4 linked regions of the Schizosaccharomyces pombe genome follow. The gene in region 1 interacts genetically with each later gene. Each region holds a gene or a part of one and is shown in the gene's direction. Other genes may lie near its edges. The genes, in order: scs7, ubp8, swc5 and amk2.

Region 1 (4,585 bases):
ATAATATCTATTTAAAAAAAAAAAAAAAATTATAAGACATACCCTTTCGATCGTCCGCTAATCTTGTCTCGAACAATTTGAGCATCGCGAACAGGACCAGCTTGTTCGAAAAAATCATATAATTCCCTAGAAGTCAAACGATTTGCGAGTTGAGAAACGAACACAGTACGGCGATCACGCTCTTCCTCTGAAAGTTTAGAGGAGCGTTCACGAGGACGGGAACGACTTCTCTTACGCTCATGTGAACGGTCATCATCCCTCAAGTCCTCATAATCATAATCATGGGCTCTAGAAGAACGAGAGGAGCGTTCTTCATAGCGGCGACGACTACGACTATGCCGCGAAGAGTAAGGAGGGCTGCGTGAATAATCATCGTATCGATGGCGACTACGACTTGAGGGATGGCGGCTTCGACTTGACCTTGAACTGCGATCGCGATCGCGAGAACGAACGGGTGATCTACTTTGATGAGAATCTACAGAAGAGTGAGGAGAGGGAGAGCGACTACCATAATCGGACCTTGGACTATATGATCTCCTATGGTGTCTTGGGGTGCGATGACTTGAGGAATTTGTAACTACATCATCGTTATAACCGCTATCCTCTCGTTGAAAAGATTGTTTGGAAGATCTGGCGTACCGATAACCCATTGAAACGGGAGGAGGAGTTAGACGACCTTCACTTTCGTAATTTTTAGACACGGGTTTGAAAGAGCGATCATGCAACCGTGTAGGCGGTGGAGGAGGGTTAGAGGGATGACTATGAGTGGAAGAGGTGAGTGAGGATTCATGAAAAGAAGAAGATGCCTTTTGCTGATTTTCTTGATTTTGCGGCTAGGAAAAGGGTTAGTAAAAACAATAAACACGGGAAGACAAAAAAACAAAGGGAAAAGGCGGGAAGGAAGGAAAAAAATTGTAAACGTACCACTTCTTGCTTACGAAAAGGAGCCTCAGCCAAGGCTTCCGCGTCCAGCTGCATTTAGATTAGATCTGTTTATCTATGCGTGGAAAATACGTTCGTTTATTTTCGTTTTCAATACAACAAACTCTGACAGGATCGGAACAGACTTCGACTGGAAAACTAAGTAAGCTAGTAAAAATGGAGTTTTGTCAGTCTAGTAGCTTTCGTCGCTTCTAACACGAATTGTTTTGTTAAAAAATATTAATAATGAGTACTCTTTTGAGCTATTTTGTCCTCTTTCTTTCGGTGGAAAAAAAAGTGGAATATTCTACTGCCTAAGCGATAAAAGATGAGAGAAATTTTAGTACAAACAAAAAAGAAAGCGAGGAATAGCGGAATAAGGAAATTCCAAGCTAAAAACAATTACCGACAATAAGAAGCAAAGAAACGGAAAGGAAGGAAAACAAAATTATACCTAACCAAACCAACGAAAAGTAAATCACGAAAAGTTAATAAATTTCGATCAACTTAAGGTTTTCTCTTTTCAAGTATTTTTTCGCAAATAATAATTTTTAGTCTACTATGAATAAATCAATGAATTGTATCTGTAAAGCACTTCACTCGTCTGTTCTTTCCCTGTGTATAGGCCCTTGAGTGCAATTTTCTGGTGTTCAGTTTCGGAACCCGTTTTGCGATACGGTAAATATTGTTTTCCGTTGTCTTACCATTTTTCGGAAAAGTCGATCAAAAATAGCACGATTTTTTGGTTCGCCCCGCAATGCCTTTTTGCCCTTTCCTGCGACATATATAGGCTACTGCATCCACGCCACAACATCGTGCCATTAACGCAACACAAACAAAGAACTGACATTTTGATCAATTGGACAAAAATCCAAGTAAAGAATCATAGGATCAGTTGCTACGTTGTAATATTTACTGTATTTGTTTATCAAACTCATCAGAAACACGCTTGCTACAGTTTTATCACGAATTAACAATTCATACTCCCATCTCCAAAATGGCCTCTGTTACTAGTGAAAAGTGTGTTATCCTTTCTGACGGCACTGAATACGATGGTAAGTATTTAAACAAGGAGAAATGGCAGGGTGTTTGGGTTTTGAGAAGGAGATTTGGTTGAAGGACTAAAATTTTTTCTCGGCAACAGAGTGTTTGAGAGGCAATGTATAAAAAACAATGAAAACGCATATAGCAAAGGCTTATTGGCAAAAGATCCATTGTGGGAGATGTGCCATTTCTTATCTTTTTTCTTTGTTCGTTGTGCTTTTAACTTTTTTTCACCTTTCCCCCTTTGCCTTAGTTACACCAAAATACATGTATCGTTCTTTATACTAACATTCCATTAGTCACCAACTACTTGGTTGCCAACAAGGACGCTGCTGACTTGCTTCGTCGCTATCACCGCCAAGAGGTTGCTGATATCCTTAATGCTACCTCCAAGTCCAAGCACTCTGAAGCTGTTGTTGAGATCTTGAAAAGTGCTAAGGTTCCTTTGAAGAATAAGGAATTCAGTGATCTTGTCGACCAGAACATTGGTGTCGGTTATGGCAATGAATTCATTGTCAAGCCTACCGATCTTGACAAGGATTTCGAGAAGAACCATTTCCTTGACCTCAAGAAGCCTTTATTGCCCCAAATTTTGTTTGGTAACATCAAGAAGGATGTTTATTTGGACCAAGTTCACCGTCCCCGTCATTACCGTGGCAGCGGTTCTGCTCCTTTGTTTGGAAACTTTTTGGAGCCTCTTACCAAGACCCCTTGGTATATGATTCCATTGATTTGGGTTCCCTGTGTCACTTATGGATTCTTGTACGCCTGTACCGGAATTCCCTTCTCTGTTGCTATCACCTTCTTCATCATTGGATTATTCACCTGGACTTTGGTTGAATATACTATGCATCGTTTCCTCTTCCACTTGGATGAGTACACCCCTGATCATCCTATTTTCTTGACTATGCACTTCGCATTCCACGGTTGCCACCACTTCTTACCTGCTGACAAGTACCGTCTTGTAATGCCTCCTGCTTTGTTCCTTATCTTTGCCACTCCCTGGTATCACTTTATTCAACTTGTTCTTCCTCACTACATTGGTGTTGCTGGTTTCTCTGGTGCCATTCTTGGTTACGTTTTCTACGATCTTACCCACTATTTCTTACATCACCGTCGTATGCCCAATGCTTACTTGACTGATTTGAAGACCTGGCATTTGGACCATCACTACAAGGATTACAAGTCTGCCTATGGTATCACCAGCTGGTTTTGGGACCGTGTTTTTGGAACTGAGGGACCTCTTTTCAACGAACAGGGAAAGATCAGCACTAAGGCTAAGTAGATTGTGATTGCGTTTGAATCATTTAGCTGCTAAATTGCTTTCAAGGTGTTAAAAGTTTCTTTGGTCCTTTTTAACTATCAATAATTTTGTGTGCTATATAAATCTTGTTGTATTTTTCTTTTCTTTTTTAATTGCTTTCCAAATTTTTTCTCCTCTCTTTACCCTTGAAATCACTAAGCAATTTTCCCCCATTTTCTCTCTGACTTTAACTAGGCCTTATTATAGTGCCTTAAAGCTGTGTATTATATTTGAATTGCAGAAACATCAAATTTGATTTAATTTGATTGATCCACTCGCTAAAGCATCTTGTATCCCACATTGAAATTGTCTTGTCTTTCTTCTTTTCTATTAATACTATTTTCTGGTTTCTTTTGAACAAGTTTTCAAACTTTACCTTGTTAAGTCGAACTTAATAATATTATCTTGACTATCGGCTATATAATTTGAGTCTAAGGTTGCTATTTTATTTTTCCTTTTATCTGTCTTTTAAATATAATTCGAATTTTTAATTGTTTTTACCACCCCATCTGTTTGTAGTGCGAAATGATTTTCTTGTAGAAGCATCTCCATATCATAAGAGCGCTGAATAGTTTTTGTTGACCAAATATGCAACGCCGAGACGAAAAATTTAGGAAGAAGATGAATAGAGATATCCACAATATATATGTTTTAACTATATTTAAGGGTCATTTTACATTTGTTTATAAAATGTAAAAAAATTTATTAAAAAGATCGTAATGAAAGGTGTGGGACTCGAACCCACGAGCTTTCGCACTAGTGCCTTAAACTAGCTCCATAACCACTCGGACAACCTTCCTTTTTTGAGTATTAGGGTAACTTAAATCATCATATAGGATTTCACTAATAAATTTTTATTTTAAAAATTTGTTTTCTTGTGAATAAAAGTGTAGCAATTTACTGATTATTTAACCAGAAAATAGATTTTAGACAAAATCTATAAAAATATTTGTTAACAGAAACTAGCTTGTGGGGAATGCGTTTAGAATTCCTCAATTACAAGTTGCAGGTAAATTTACCCTAGTGTTTGTTAAGCGGACGTCGAGTTATTAACCATTACTATTGACGTTGGTTAACATGAATAAGCTTGAATTATTGCCAAGTCATTTTCCTGACACTTTCAGATTTGTTTATTTGTTTTTTTCTCAACCTCTGACATTTAGATGCATAATACATGTCAAAGACTTCTTAAATGATTACGATCATCATGCCTTGAAGGAGTTTCCTCAATTTCTTGCCGATAAAGACTATAGTAAAAAATGATCTAGCAAAACTGAGTAAGCATTGTTTATGATTAAAGCATTGCTATTATAACGC
Region 2 (4,820 bases), 3.5 Mb from region 1:
GAAGATTCTCAGTTAAAGGGGTAACAAACACGGCATTCACGGGGATGGAAAGTTGTTCCAAGGCATAAATAGAGGAAAGCATAACAGCAGCACCACCCATATCAGCACGCATCTCCTTCATGTTTTGAGAAGGCTTGATACTGATACCACCGCTGTCAAACGTTACACCTTTTCCAACTAAACCAAGCCATCCATCATCTTTTGATTTTTCTTTACCAATGTATTGTACTTCTAAGAAACGAGGTGGAATATCGGAACCAGCATTCACGGTAAGTAAACCGTTCATCTTTTGCTCATCAATCCACTTCTCATCGTGAACGAATACTTTAACCTTTGAGGAATTTTGGAATAACTCTTGAGCAAAATGACAAAATTGAAGAGAAGTCATGTAATTAGCAGGACATTCCATAAGAGAACGAGCCAAGTTTTGAGCAGCTGCTTCAATCAAACCTACCTTAAAAGCATTCTCCTCTGCGGTTGCAGTTTTCTTCTCAGATGTGTTGCTAAGCAATTGGAAAGTTAACCTTTCAGGAGCAGGAGAGGTAAATAAATTTTCCTTTTCAACCACCTTTTCATCTTGATAGACGCTCAAATGGTCTCTACGAAGAGAAAAATCGTACGTGGCCAAGGCAGCACCCAAGGCAGCATCCTTGGGAAAACCCATACCATCGACAGCTATCGACTTTGCACCATTCGACTTTAAAATCTTAGCTGCCTCTGCAGCAGCTGAACGAACGGACTTTTCAGAAACGTTTTCTTCAAGCTGGACTATGGCAAGACGAACAAAACCCTGAGTGTTCCAAAAGAGACGAATGTCATTTTTTTTGGGAGATGTTTCAAAATACTGGTCAACAACTTGTCGATAATCTTCAGAAAAAACTTGTTTATCGTGACGAACAGCCAAAATCAAGGAATCGGCTTTTGTAGTAGCTAAAGGAATTCTTGGTAAAAGAATGGAAGAAAGTGAGCTCCAATTAAAGGTTCTCGTACTTAGACCTAAACCCTTCATTGTACGTAAGAAAAAAAGCTTTGCTTGTATCTTTGATTTCTCTTGATTTAGAAAACTTAATTAGACACTTGTAATCAAAAAAAAGGTAAAGGATTACGGATTATTATAAGTTCAATGAGAGTTGGATATTCGAAAATCGTTAACTCGTGAAACTACGAATACACGTAAATTCAGTATGCAAAAATAAAATACGATGTCCGATTGCAGATTGGGCAAGGGCAAGTGTACTTAACATAGTCTAGTGTGTTATTGAGTAGACAAGATCAACATTGTGATGGAAAAATACATTCAACAAGGCTAGACATAAAAAAGAAAAAGCACCAAAGGATTTTATTTCTTGATCAAAAACCAATTTTTAAGTAAGTCACACTCATTTGCTACATATATATTTGAACTTCTGCAGACGTATTGTTGCCCTACAATCTCTATTTAGGGTAACACAAACTGTTTCGGCACAAAAATCTGCCCCTAGTCAATTGTTAAGTAATAAATTCTATACAAATGTAATAGACAAAAATTTTCGTACATGTACCTGCTTGCAGTGACTCGGTTGTATTACAAAGATGCTCACGGTAAATAGTCATATATGGTTTTATATTTAGCCCTGCAAACGTTTCATGGCAACAAACATAAGCGTACACTTAAACACGTTCGACGTTAATAGAGGCATTAGTCTAATTTGACCAAGCTTTTAAAAAATTAACAATTTCATCTATTCAACCGTGATTAAAGGACTAGCAGTAATTTTTTTTATTTTGCAGTGACTCAACAGCCAAATCTATGGGAATTTACCAAGTTTATGTTTTAAAGAGGAAAACCAAGGACACTCAAGAACTACGAAGAACATCTATTTTGGTGTTTTATCAATTGACTTAGCGTAGCTATGATAGCTCTTTATACGAAATCGGTATCTAGTAGTGCAGACACTATGAGTACTTTATGGCTCTTAACGCTGTACACCGCATCCTTAATTGCCCAAATTTAAGCAAAGAGAAATAATGTTCTTTTGCCAGAATAGCGAGTTCGTCTATTGTTGTCGTTTCACCCTGCATCGAAGCAGATGCTTTTTAGTCTGAAAGGCCAATTTTGTACGTATCAAGGATGCCTGGGGATGTAGAAGGTTGCCAGCATCTTAAACTTAAACCGGCGGATGTTGAAAACTATCAAAAGATCTGTACCCAGATATTCAGTTGTCATGTAAGGCTTGTGAACAACACTTCATACAGTTCAATTTTCTTTTTCCATTCGATTCCTTTTAACATTTCTTTCATTTAGTTTGTCCCACGTCGCTGCAGTACTTGCAAACGCATCAACAAGCGGAGTATTCGATGCTTGAGTTGTCATTCTGTGGGATGTCTTTGGGGACATCATGGTGAAGAACACGCAATGGAGCACACTCATATGATCGGTACGTTTAGTTGAAAACATAGCTATTGATTTAGCAACGAAACCTTTTTGCGAATATCGAGTTAGGATGCAATTCCCGAATACCAATTACTAATTCTTAGGCGTGGATGTAAAAAATGGCCATACCTACTGCTTTGGCTGTCAAGACTACGTTTATCAGACCGAGTTGGAAACCCTTCGTTTTAAGATCAAGAATATCAAGGCATGGCAAAGTGATCACAAGAGACTTCCCGAGAAGTACAATCAAATGGTTTGCTTAGAAGCCTATCGAAAATACCCTCCAGTTTGCGCAACAGCAGGCTTGAGGGGGATCCAGAACTTGGGTGCTACTTGTTTCATGAGCGTCATTTTACAAAGTATTTTGCATAATCCATTGGTTCGAAACTTGTTTTTCAGTGGGTTTCATACTTCTACTGATTGTAAGCGACCTACTTGCATGACTTGTGCCATTGACGATATGTTTTCATCTATTTATAATTCTAAAAACAAATCTACTTTTTACGGTCCCACTGCTGTCTTAAATCTTATGTGGAAACTCAGCAAATCTTTATGTGGTTACTCCCAGCAAGATGGCCACGAATTTTTTGTATACTTGCTGGACCAAATGCATACGGAAAGCGGAGGAGGAACATCAATGCCGTGCACTTGTCCTATTCATCGTATTTTTAGTGGATCTCTGAAAAACGTTGTTACATGCCTAGATTGCAAGAAGGAGCGGGTGGCTGTGGATCCTTTGATGGACATTAGTTTAGACATCAATGAGCCAACACTTCAAGGATGTTTGGAAAGGTAAAATTTGCTCGTTTTTAGATTTTTTAACAAATATTATTTTAGGTTTGTTTCCAAAGAGAAAGTTCAATATAGCTGTCATAGTTGCGGGTCAAAAAATGCTATTAAACAATTGGTCTTTGACAAACTACCTCCAACTATTTGCATGCAATTGAAACGATTTGAACAAAATAACTTTGCCATGTCAACTAAAATAGATAAGCAAGTATCTTATCCAGCATTTTTAAGAATGCGCTACAACTTTAATCAAGATGATGTGGATTATCAATTATACTCAGTTGTGTGTCATAAAGGAACTCTCGACACAGGGCACTATATTGCCTATACATACTACCAAAATCAAGTATATTAAATTTTTTTTGAATTTTTTATGGAAATTTTTACTAATTTTTGTAGTGGTTTTTGCTGGATGACACCACAATTGTGGAAGTAAAGGAATCGGAGGTCTTAAATTCTCAAGCGTAGGCTCTTTGCTGTTATTTTTTTACATACTAACCAGATTATAGTTACCTATTATTTTACCATGAGCGTCAAATCCTATACAGTGATGAAATGACTGTTAAAACGGAAAATTGAGTTAGATTATGCGATCAGATATCCGTTCATGAACAATCATTATGAACCATGTAAAGTAATTGACTCAAAGGTTCCTTATTTATGTGGTTATGAAACATCATCACTTCGATAATCTAACTCATGAAGAAGCTTTTAGATTTCATATTGTTGAGGCCAGAAATGGCATTGGATTTGGAACCGTTACAACAGTCGCATTTTAATTAATGACCTTACGTAAATTTATAAAAAAAGTTAAAACTATAAAAAAAGAAACATGCTTTTTTTCTTTCAAAGTTAACAAATACTATAAGTTTGAGGAATTTGGACTTTTGTTTTGTTTCGTTTAATATTATTCCAACTAATTATAATTTTATCTTTTAAAAGCTAAGTCTTGTCGTCGAGTAAGCTATTTTATATGTAACTGTTAAAATGTATAAAATTTTAAAATATTAATAAGGAAAACAACTCTTTGAATTAAGGAAGCATGTCAAGTTCACAAAATCGGTAGTTGCAGATCGTCCAAATCCTCTGGAATGCTGCAATACTCACGAATTTGATTGGTATCGGCACCCATGTCTCGACAAAAAGCTATCAAAGTATGGATTTGATCGGTCCACAAATTGGCAGCTTCCATGTACTTTTTAGTATTCTCATTTTTTAATTCAAAGGTTTCAGGATTACAGTGATTTAAATTTGAAAGTTGTGTTTTAAGAAGTTTTAGTTCTGATTCTTTTGCATGTAGCAGTTCCAAAGTGTATTGATTGGCATCATTTTCGGTTCCTTCGTTATCCCTTTTGGATTTCTCGAAACTAATGTTTTCATCTAAAGTTTTAGATTTTTGTTTCAAATCATCAAGTTGAGCTTGAAGAGATCCGAGAACTGACTCTCTTGAACGTTTAGCATCGGAGGGAAAAGACCAGTAGTAATTGCTAGTGCCAATCTTTTCCGTTTTGACGATATTGTCGTCAACGAGAGACTGTAAAACGTCCTTTACAGTTTGCAAAACGATTTGCTTTTTAGAGCCCAGCTTTTCCACCTCCTTTAGTTGAAAAAAATCTTT
Region 3 (3,366 bases), on another chromosome or scaffold:
CTTTAATCGATTTATGTGCGAGAAACAGTAAATGAACGTAATCTCATCCTTTTTTTTCAGCCATTGTTTAAAAAGTAGAAAATATATCTTTGGATAGCTAGCAGAGCATTGTCGAGAAATCATTATTTTTAGTTATTTCAGCTTCTCAATGTCGAATGTTACACCTTAGGGTAGGTCTTTAAACAGCGTGACTGTTTTTGGTTTTCTGATCAACACACTGAAAGTTTAGGATCAGTTGCACAGAACCACCACCACCGCTTTTTTATCAAAATGGGTGCCTACAAGTACTTGGAAGAGCTTGCTAAGAAGAAGCAATCTGACGTTAACTTGTTCTTGTCTCGCGTTCGCGCTTGGGAGTACCGTCAGATGAATGTAATCCACCGTGCCAGCCGTCCTTCTCGTCCTGACAAGGCTCGTCGTTTGGGTTACAAGGCTAAGCAAGGTTATGTTATCTACCGCATCCGTGTCCGCCGTGGTGGTCGTAAGCGCCCTGTCCCCAAGGGTCAAACATATGGTAAACCCGTCCACCAGGGTGTTAACCATCTCAAGTACCAACGCTCTGCTCGCTGTACCGCTGAGGAGCGTGTTGGCCGCTACTGCTCTAACTTGCGTGTATTGAACTCTTACTGGGTTAACCAAGATGCTACTTACAAGTTCTTTGAGGTTATCCTTGTTGATCCCTCTCACAAGGCTATCCGTCGCGATCCTCGTATCAACTGGATTGTCAACCCCGTTCACAAGCACCGTGAGTCTCGTGGTCTTACTTCCATTGGTAAGAAGTCTCGTGGTATTGGCAAGGGTCATCGTTTCAACAACTCTCCCCAGCATGCCACCTGGCTCCGTCACAACACTTTGTCTCTTCGCAGATACCGTTAGAGAGTTTGGCGCTAATTGTAATATCTCAAAACAAGACATTTCTGTTGTTCAAAATATATTAGTCGAAAGTATTTTTTGTAACTATTTGTAAGAAACTCAGGAAGAAAGTAGTTAACTGTATTCAACAATAATAAGCTCATGGTATGATGGCTGTTGTTGAGAGTATATGTATATAAAAAATACTGTTTAAAAAGTTTAAAAAATCATAAGCTTATTTATTCAAATAGTAAAAATATACATAATATACATACTATCTTTGACTTTTACTTAAAATCTAAGCAAAGAAGGCATGGAGATAGCGATGAAAGCTAGAATGTGCTTTTCGTTCTGCTCACTCTGTTAAAAAACAATAAAAAAAAGAAATGTAGTACATTAATAAGAAAATGGTGATATTAACTTTATATGTGTATTTTTTAATAAAAAGAAGCAATCCCGTATATTATAATTGTAAGAATAGTAATCAAAAATTCATTGTTATACCATGAGAGAAGAATATTATTCCCTTTTGATAATGTTTTGCATTGGATATCACCCCAAAGCACTTATCCATTATTTTTCACAATCTTTCTAATTCCAAAAAAATGTACAGGTTTCAAAAATTATAGTTTAGGACCGGAGTTTGTCAAAGTAAAGTTGTTTATCCTAGCCTAGACAAGAAAGTTAGGAAATCATAAAGGCAACAAAATCCAACACCAATTCAATTGGAAAAAAAAAGGTAAAAGATTAATCTGGAAAAATATTTTAAAAAACATTACAAAAAAGATAATATAACTTCCATAAACTGGTTAATTGACGCTCGAGTGTTTTGAGTTTTTTTATAACAAATCCCCCACAAGTCTTATTTAATTAAACAACTGAAAATTAAAACGTTGCTTATCACATACTGTTTCAATAACATTTCGTTCTATCACAAAGCTTTATTAAAAACGTCTCCATTTAGTATCAGCCTAACTAAAGTCAAGGGCTAGTTGAGCTGCGATGCCATTTTCCAAATCTTCTAATTCTAAAACAATATCTTCATTTTCAGAAGATGACATGATAGAGTTCTTTTTCTCTTCATAAGCTCGACTAAACGAATAATTAGCACATAAGTAATACAAAAGCCCTTACCAAACTGCCTCTTTTGAATAAATCCTTAAGTATTGAGTAATTAATTCTAAAGCACTTGGAGTAATTTTGGTTCCCTTTTCTGAACTGAAATACAAGGTCAGAATGCGTGCCAACGTATTGAGGGACAGCAGTTCGCTTTCCTGCTCCATTACACTTCAATGACAGAGAAATTAATTGATTTCGGCCTTGAACAAGAGGAGGAGGATACGGAATTTGTCCCAGGTGACAGTACGGATACGGAGTCGTCGTTTTCTGATGCTGATTCAAGTGAGGAGGAGTTCGTAGAGGAAAAAGAAGCCTCGCAAGTTCAAAGTACTAAATCAAAAATTGCAACCAGTGAATCTGAAGATGTTACTCTTAAAAATATAGCAAAAAAAAATAAAAGAGAAAGAAATGATAAATTAATCCCTCAACAATCAAATGAATCCGAGGCAATTGAGAAACCGGTACAGTCTACAACCGAAGTGGAACTGAAGACTAATGAACTTGCAGAATCGAATTCCTCAGTTGCCGTAGAAGGGGATGAAAATTCCTATGCTGAAACACCTAAGAAGAAACACTCATTGATAAGGAAACGCCGTAAATCTCCACTTGATAGCTCGTCAGCCCAAAAGGTTTTAAAGAAAAACAAGCTAAACACTCTTGAACAAGCACAGCAAAATTGGTCAAAGTATATTAAGGAACAGGATATTCAAGATGAGCTTCGGATCGCCAATAAAGATGGTTATGTCGAGCGCCAGGAATTCTTAGCAAAAACCCGTGCTGCACATGAAGAAAAAATTCGAGAGATGAAAAAGTTGCCGTAACAAAATGGTTTAAAACTTAAAACTAGTATTTTTTTTAATGAAGAACCCCTTTTGTCTAAGACACCAGCCGGCAGCATTGAACGAGTCCATGTCGATTTTGCGTTTCTTCAACTACTTCACCTCCTCCAAGCCAGGAAGTCGTTGTCTTTCTAAAACTTCATTTGAAAATATCCAGATATTATTTAAATGTTTTATTTAATTGGATTAGGATTATTTGATGAAAAGGATATTACCTTAAGAGGCCTAGAAACAGTAAAAAAATGTCAGCGTATATATCTTGAGGCATATACGTCCATTTTGCTCGTTCAGAAGGAAAAATTAGAAGAACTTTATGGTAAAGAGGTTATCCTTGCTGATCGTGAAATGGTAGAGAGCAGTAGTGATGAAATCTTGAAAGACGCTGACAATTGTGATGTTGCAATGCTTGTTGTTGGTGATCCGATGGGGTATGTTTACTTGAAAGTACATGTTCCTTTTATTTATCTTTTTTTTATTTACTTTGAGAAATTTGACTCAGCTGTTTATTACAGGCTTTTAGCCCTTACGACAGCATCTCTCAGTTATTAAAAAAGCT
Region 4 (4,349 bases), on another chromosome or scaffold:
TTTAAATTAGTGCTCTTAATAATTAGCACTCTGGATGTAAGTGATCAAGGAAGGTGCCCTTTCAAGTTGTTTGCGTAATGCACTATCTTGTATACCATGTCAGCAATATGACACTACGCTATGATACACTACGTTGCGTATCACTATATGTCACATGTTCTAATTATATATCGTACCATGTATGATACGATATGGAGATTGATCTTAATGATAATCTATTAAGATCAATATTATCTGAATACTATAAATAGAGCTACTGCTGAACCTCGTTCCTCAGTTCAGTTATGAGCTATATTAGTGATAGGTAACATTATAACCCAGTTAATACAATACCTATACTCAGTTGCTACTTATACAACCTGTGTATTGTAATATAATAGATCACAAGGAAAACTCACCGTAGTTCTACGTATCCTTAAATCAGATACCAAACTGCGTAGCGTACATACCAATTCTAAATACTACTATTCCTACAATACATTAATGTCAGCTTATATAAAATACACTACGATACACTATAACATATGCTCTAATATTCTATTTGCTCTATTTACTTACAAGATAAGTTATCAAGAAGATTATAATAGTGTTCAATAATAAAAAGATGTTATTTTATTACATAGTTTTTTCAATGCTTTAAATTAAGACAAACTGAACCTCGTTCCTCAGTTCAGTTATTAGCTAAATCGGTCACCAATACTAGTAGACTTATAACAATAAATATAATATTGTTAGTGAAGCATACCCATACCGTTATCTTGTAGCCCGCAAAAGAAACTCATCGCATTTTAGTGTATCGCTAAACAAATACCAAACTACGTAGCAAACAATAAATCGCGTAGGTTATTCATTAAAAGCCTCTAGGATATGTATGGGTATAATTTGTATATTTAAACGGTCTATTTCAAATCCTTCCTCGTGTTCGTGGCTTTAAAACAGCATAAAAAGATTACCACTGAAATCAAAATTTCGTTTGAGTTAGGTGAACGGAAAGAGTACTCTAACAGCATATTCAACCATATGTACTTCAATTCATGACATTTTTGTAATGGAACATATCATATCAAAAAACAATACTTCATACTTTATTGTATCATTAAACCAATACTGAGCTGCGTACTAACAACATATAAGTTTTCACTACTTTGCTTCGTTATAGATTATAAAGTGAAGGATTCATCGCAACAAAAATTCACGTTTGGTTTGGTAAAGTCGTCATTTAACTAAAAAATAATATATTCTTCGTTTCATATGGAATGTATTTAATCAGTACGTTCATTGAAAACACTGTTCTTGTTTTTGCAATGCAGTGATTTTAGTTCGCTTATTTCGCAGCATAATAAGTAGACATGAAAAATTGACGGAAATAGAGCATTTGATATCTAGAAATTCAGGCTTTTTTTAAGTTCGTAACTTAATTTGAGTGATTTCGTCTGAGAAATAGAAGCGTCTTTTTTACGAAAGAAGTTTTTGCGCCATACTTATATATTGTTATACTAGAACGTAGTTAAAAAAGATGAAGCTATACGAGCGTAATGTACAAGGTATTCATTAATTTATAAACATATAATATGCAGGCCTTTCGGTTATGGAAGTTTAACTCAATTAAAGCCTCGCTAAGTTACAATAATTATAAGTGAACCGCTTTTAGTGTATAATTAACTTGAAGGCCTCTCAATGCACAGAGTAGTTTAAAATTTTTCTATATCGTTTCATATGTAGCTTCAATAATTTTTTAAACATTTCCATTAAGAATGAGAAGCATGCTGCTTTTTACCTTCAAAAGATTATACATAGCTGTTGTAGAACTGTATTATACGTCCCAAATGCAATATTAAATTTTTCAGCTTTTATCATACAGCTTTTAGATATTTATTCTTTATAATAAATGGATTTTCAATTAATGTTTTCTTTGATAAAGCTGCAAAACAGTACGAAGCGTTTAACTGTGAATAACGCTGCACTTTAGCTTCCACTATTTAATGATAGCTTAGATACAATAAATAACCTTATTTCATGCTCGTTGGGGTTTAGTTCAAAGTGATGAGCTACAAAGCCAGAACAAACTACTTTACATCATTTCAAAATGGGAAATGTTCAATCTCAGGAGGGTAATGTCCTTTAAGTTAAACACATGTGAAATAAGTATCTAATTTAATGTTAGGAGAGACTCGCGCACATGCTGTCCCTTCTCAAGATGCCACAACAACGCCTGACAATGCAAATAACGTTCCAAAAGAACCACGTGCCCAAAGCATGATTAGTATTGCTGCAGATGATTTGAATCAAGAAGGTGAAATGTCGGATGATAATCAGCAGGAAGGCGGTAATAATCGTACTTCCCAAAACGGAACTTCAGGATCGAGTGGTCATACGAAACGCCGTTCTCAAACTTCAGGCAAGAAGACACATCAGCCTTATTCTGGTAAGTTTCTTTAAGACCGGTTTATTTGATTGCTTGACATCCTTATGTAACAAGGGTGATTTACCGTAACATTGCATTATCATTTAAGCTGTTGACCTTAACGTTTGTTTGCAATAGTTTTCAGAAAGGAGATTTTTTGCAATTGACAATTTAATTACTTACACATATAGGTCCTTGTGTGCCAACCATTATTCGATGGAGAGGAGGCGGTGAAGTTGTTTATGTCACTGGATCGTTTTCTCGTTGGAAGAAAAAAATCCAATTACTGAAAAGGTATGAGTTTTTCATGGTGTGCTTTTTTCTATATTTGAGCCTCCCTTTATAGGTTGTTTATCCTGTTTTAAGCTTGCTAACTTTTTCGCCAAATAGCGAAGATTACACTGTCCTTTTGCAATTACGTCCTGGAACTCAGCGTTTTAAATTCTTGGTTGATGGTATATGGTGCTGTTCTTCAGATTTTCCAACTGCCACCGATGCGGAAGGCAACCTTTACAACTACCTCGAGGTGGAAGCTAATGAGAAGTTAGGCGCTAGTATTGATGAAAGATTGAGTCAAGTTCATACGGACCTTCCGATGGAGGAAAAGTCTGAATCTGAGCAATATTCTACGGAGATACCAGCTTTTCTTACTAGCAACACCCTTCAAGAGTTGAAGTTGCCAAAGCCCCCTTCTCTACCTCCTCATCTTGAGAAGTGTATCCTTAACTCAAATACTGCCTATAAGGAGGATCAGTCTGTCTTGCCAAATCCTAATCACGTCCTTTTAAACCATTTAGCAGCTGCAAATACCCAGTTAGGCGTTCTCGCTTTAAGTGCTACTACGCGCTATCATCGAAAGGTAAGTCGGTTCCTTATACGCGTTGCTTGACTAACTTTGTTTCCCCAGTATGTCACTACTGCTATGTTTAAAAATTTTGATGTCTAGCCATACCGCATCTGTCGAATTTATTGTTTATATTTCGCGACGTATATAATCACTTTAATGATAAATTTATTTTTTTAAATTTCTCAAACATCCCATCATTATACTTCATTTGATTGGTTTATTTGCACGATTTTGTTTCGAGAAAACTTTACGCTGTGATATCAAGCACAAAGCAACCAGTTCATATTTCACTATGTAGCGATCCATAGGTTAATTAATTTTTATAAATACATATCTAGTTACTTCACTTCACGATGTTATTCTCTTAATCCTTTGCGTAACGGAACCTTTTCCACAAATATAGCAATAGGTAGAAGAACGAAAAAATCGCGACTCCATTAGTCACCCATTCTACGACATGTTTATAGGATAAATCGGCTATTGGAATAGATATGCTTAAGGTTGTTGGATCGTTTTGTAAGGTATATTTGTTCTTACTGGAAAACAGAAATCTGAAATCATTTACTTTGTCTTCAGTGTCACAATTCCAGAAAAACTTGGGATTTGTTAATGATGTTTTTAAGTATGTTTGTCCTTTGAGAGGGCTTTGATAACGTGTGTGTAAGGGAATGATAGTGTCTATATAGTCTTTTTGCAACAAACCATCGTCCGTATATATGTCAAACCAGAAAAAAGACCCAGTACCATTTAATTTGTAACTAGGTGCTTCCAAGTCGGTCTCACCCCAAATTCCTAAAACATGCCCTAAATTGTCGGCATGCATTTCCGCAATATTAGATAGCTCGTACCTGTCAATAAACAATGTAGGTGGTATGTACATGAACCCCTGCAAAGAGCATTCGTCTTCAGGTTTATGCAGATTTTTCAAATGAACATGCAATTTGGGATGTAGACCTACCGGCAAACCGAGCTGTGTCTCATAACTACCCACTGGTATATCTAAATTTGGAACAGTTTCCAAAGACACATTCCATCCCTTTTCACTCATACAAGCAAAAATCATTTCTTCATTGTTTAAAGCTTTATTTCCTTTGTCAA

The links.
Region 2: mutations in scs7 (region 1) and ubp8 together harm fitness less than expected from each alone (positive genetic interaction), as found in Schizosaccharomyces pombe (2 studies listed by BioGRID).
Region 3: mutations in scs7 (region 1) and swc5 together harm fitness less than expected from each alone (positive genetic interaction), as found in Schizosaccharomyces pombe (2 studies listed by BioGRID).
Region 4: mutations in scs7 (region 1) and amk2 together harm fitness more than expected from each alone (negative genetic interaction), as found in Schizosaccharomyces pombe (3 studies listed by BioGRID).

What each region holds. Positions count from the first base shown.
Region 1 is NC_003424.3:4,055,040-4,059,624, forward strand, and holds scs7 (ER sphingosine hydroxylase Scs7), read left to right. Parts: upstream 1-1,736; 5' UTR 1,737-1,918; coding exon 1,919-1,976; intron 1,977-1,996; exon of another isoform or gene 1,997-2,264; coding exon 2,265-3,250; 3' UTR 3,251-3,776; downstream 3,777-4,585. Other genes in the region: RNA-binding protein Rsd1, read right to left, coding at 43-833, 925-978. UniProt on the Schizosaccharomyces pombe protein: Ceramide hydroxylase involved in the hydroxylation of sphingolipid-associated very long chain fatty acids. Postulated to hydroxylate the very long chain fatty acid of dihydroceramides and phytoceramides at C-2.
Region 2 is NC_003424.3:578,681-583,500, reverse strand, and holds ubp8 (SAGA complex ubiquitin Ubp8), read left to right. Parts: upstream 1-2,020; 5' UTR 2,021-2,110; coding exon 2,111-2,206; intron 2,207-2,284; coding exon 2,285-2,417; intron 2,418-2,517; coding exon 2,518-3,205; intron 3,206-3,250; coding exon 3,251-3,548; intron 3,549-3,552; exon of another isoform or gene 3,553-3,601; coding exon 3,602-3,666; exon of another isoform or gene 3,667-3,711; coding exon 3,712-3,781; 3' UTR 3,782-4,148; downstream 4,149-4,820. Other genes in the region: ysp2 (peptidase family M17 cytoplasmic leucyl aminopeptidase yspII (LAP yspII)), read right to left, coding at 1-1,009; protein Mcp7, read right to left, coding at 4,254-4,820. UniProt on the Schizosaccharomyces pombe protein: Histone deubiquitinating enzyme component of the transcription coactivator SAGA complex. SAGA acts as a general cofactor required for essentially all RNA polymerase II transcription.
Region 3 is NC_003421.2:2,099,609-2,102,974, forward strand, and holds swc5 (Swr1 complex subunit Swc5), read left to right. Parts: upstream 1-2,135; 5' UTR 2,136-2,144; coding exon 2,145-2,792; downstream 2,793-3,366. Other genes in the region: rpl15 (60S ribosomal protein eL15), read left to right, coding at 271-876; FANCM-MHF complex subunit Mhf2 , read right to left, coding at 1,824-1,944, 1,987-2,135; diphthine synthase Dph5, read left to right, coding at 2,979-3,238.
Region 4 is NC_003421.2:2,206,737-2,211,085, reverse strand, and holds amk2 (serine/threonine protein kinase AMPK (beta) regulatory subunit Amk2), read left to right. Parts: upstream 1-2,058; 5' UTR 2,059-2,086; coding exon 2,087-2,111; exon of another isoform or gene 2,112-2,164; coding exon 2,165-2,425; exon of another isoform or gene 2,426-2,595; coding exon 2,596-2,698; intron 2,699-2,794; coding exon 2,795-3,263; intron 3,264-3,311; coding exon 3,312-3,350; 3' UTR 3,351-3,601; downstream 3,602-4,349. Other genes in the region: pbn1 (GPI synthesis protein pig-X), read right to left, coding at 3,616-4,349. UniProt on the Schizosaccharomyces pombe protein: Beta subunit of AMP-activated protein kinase (AMPK), which is required for transcriptional, metabolic, and developmental adaptations in response to glucose limitation.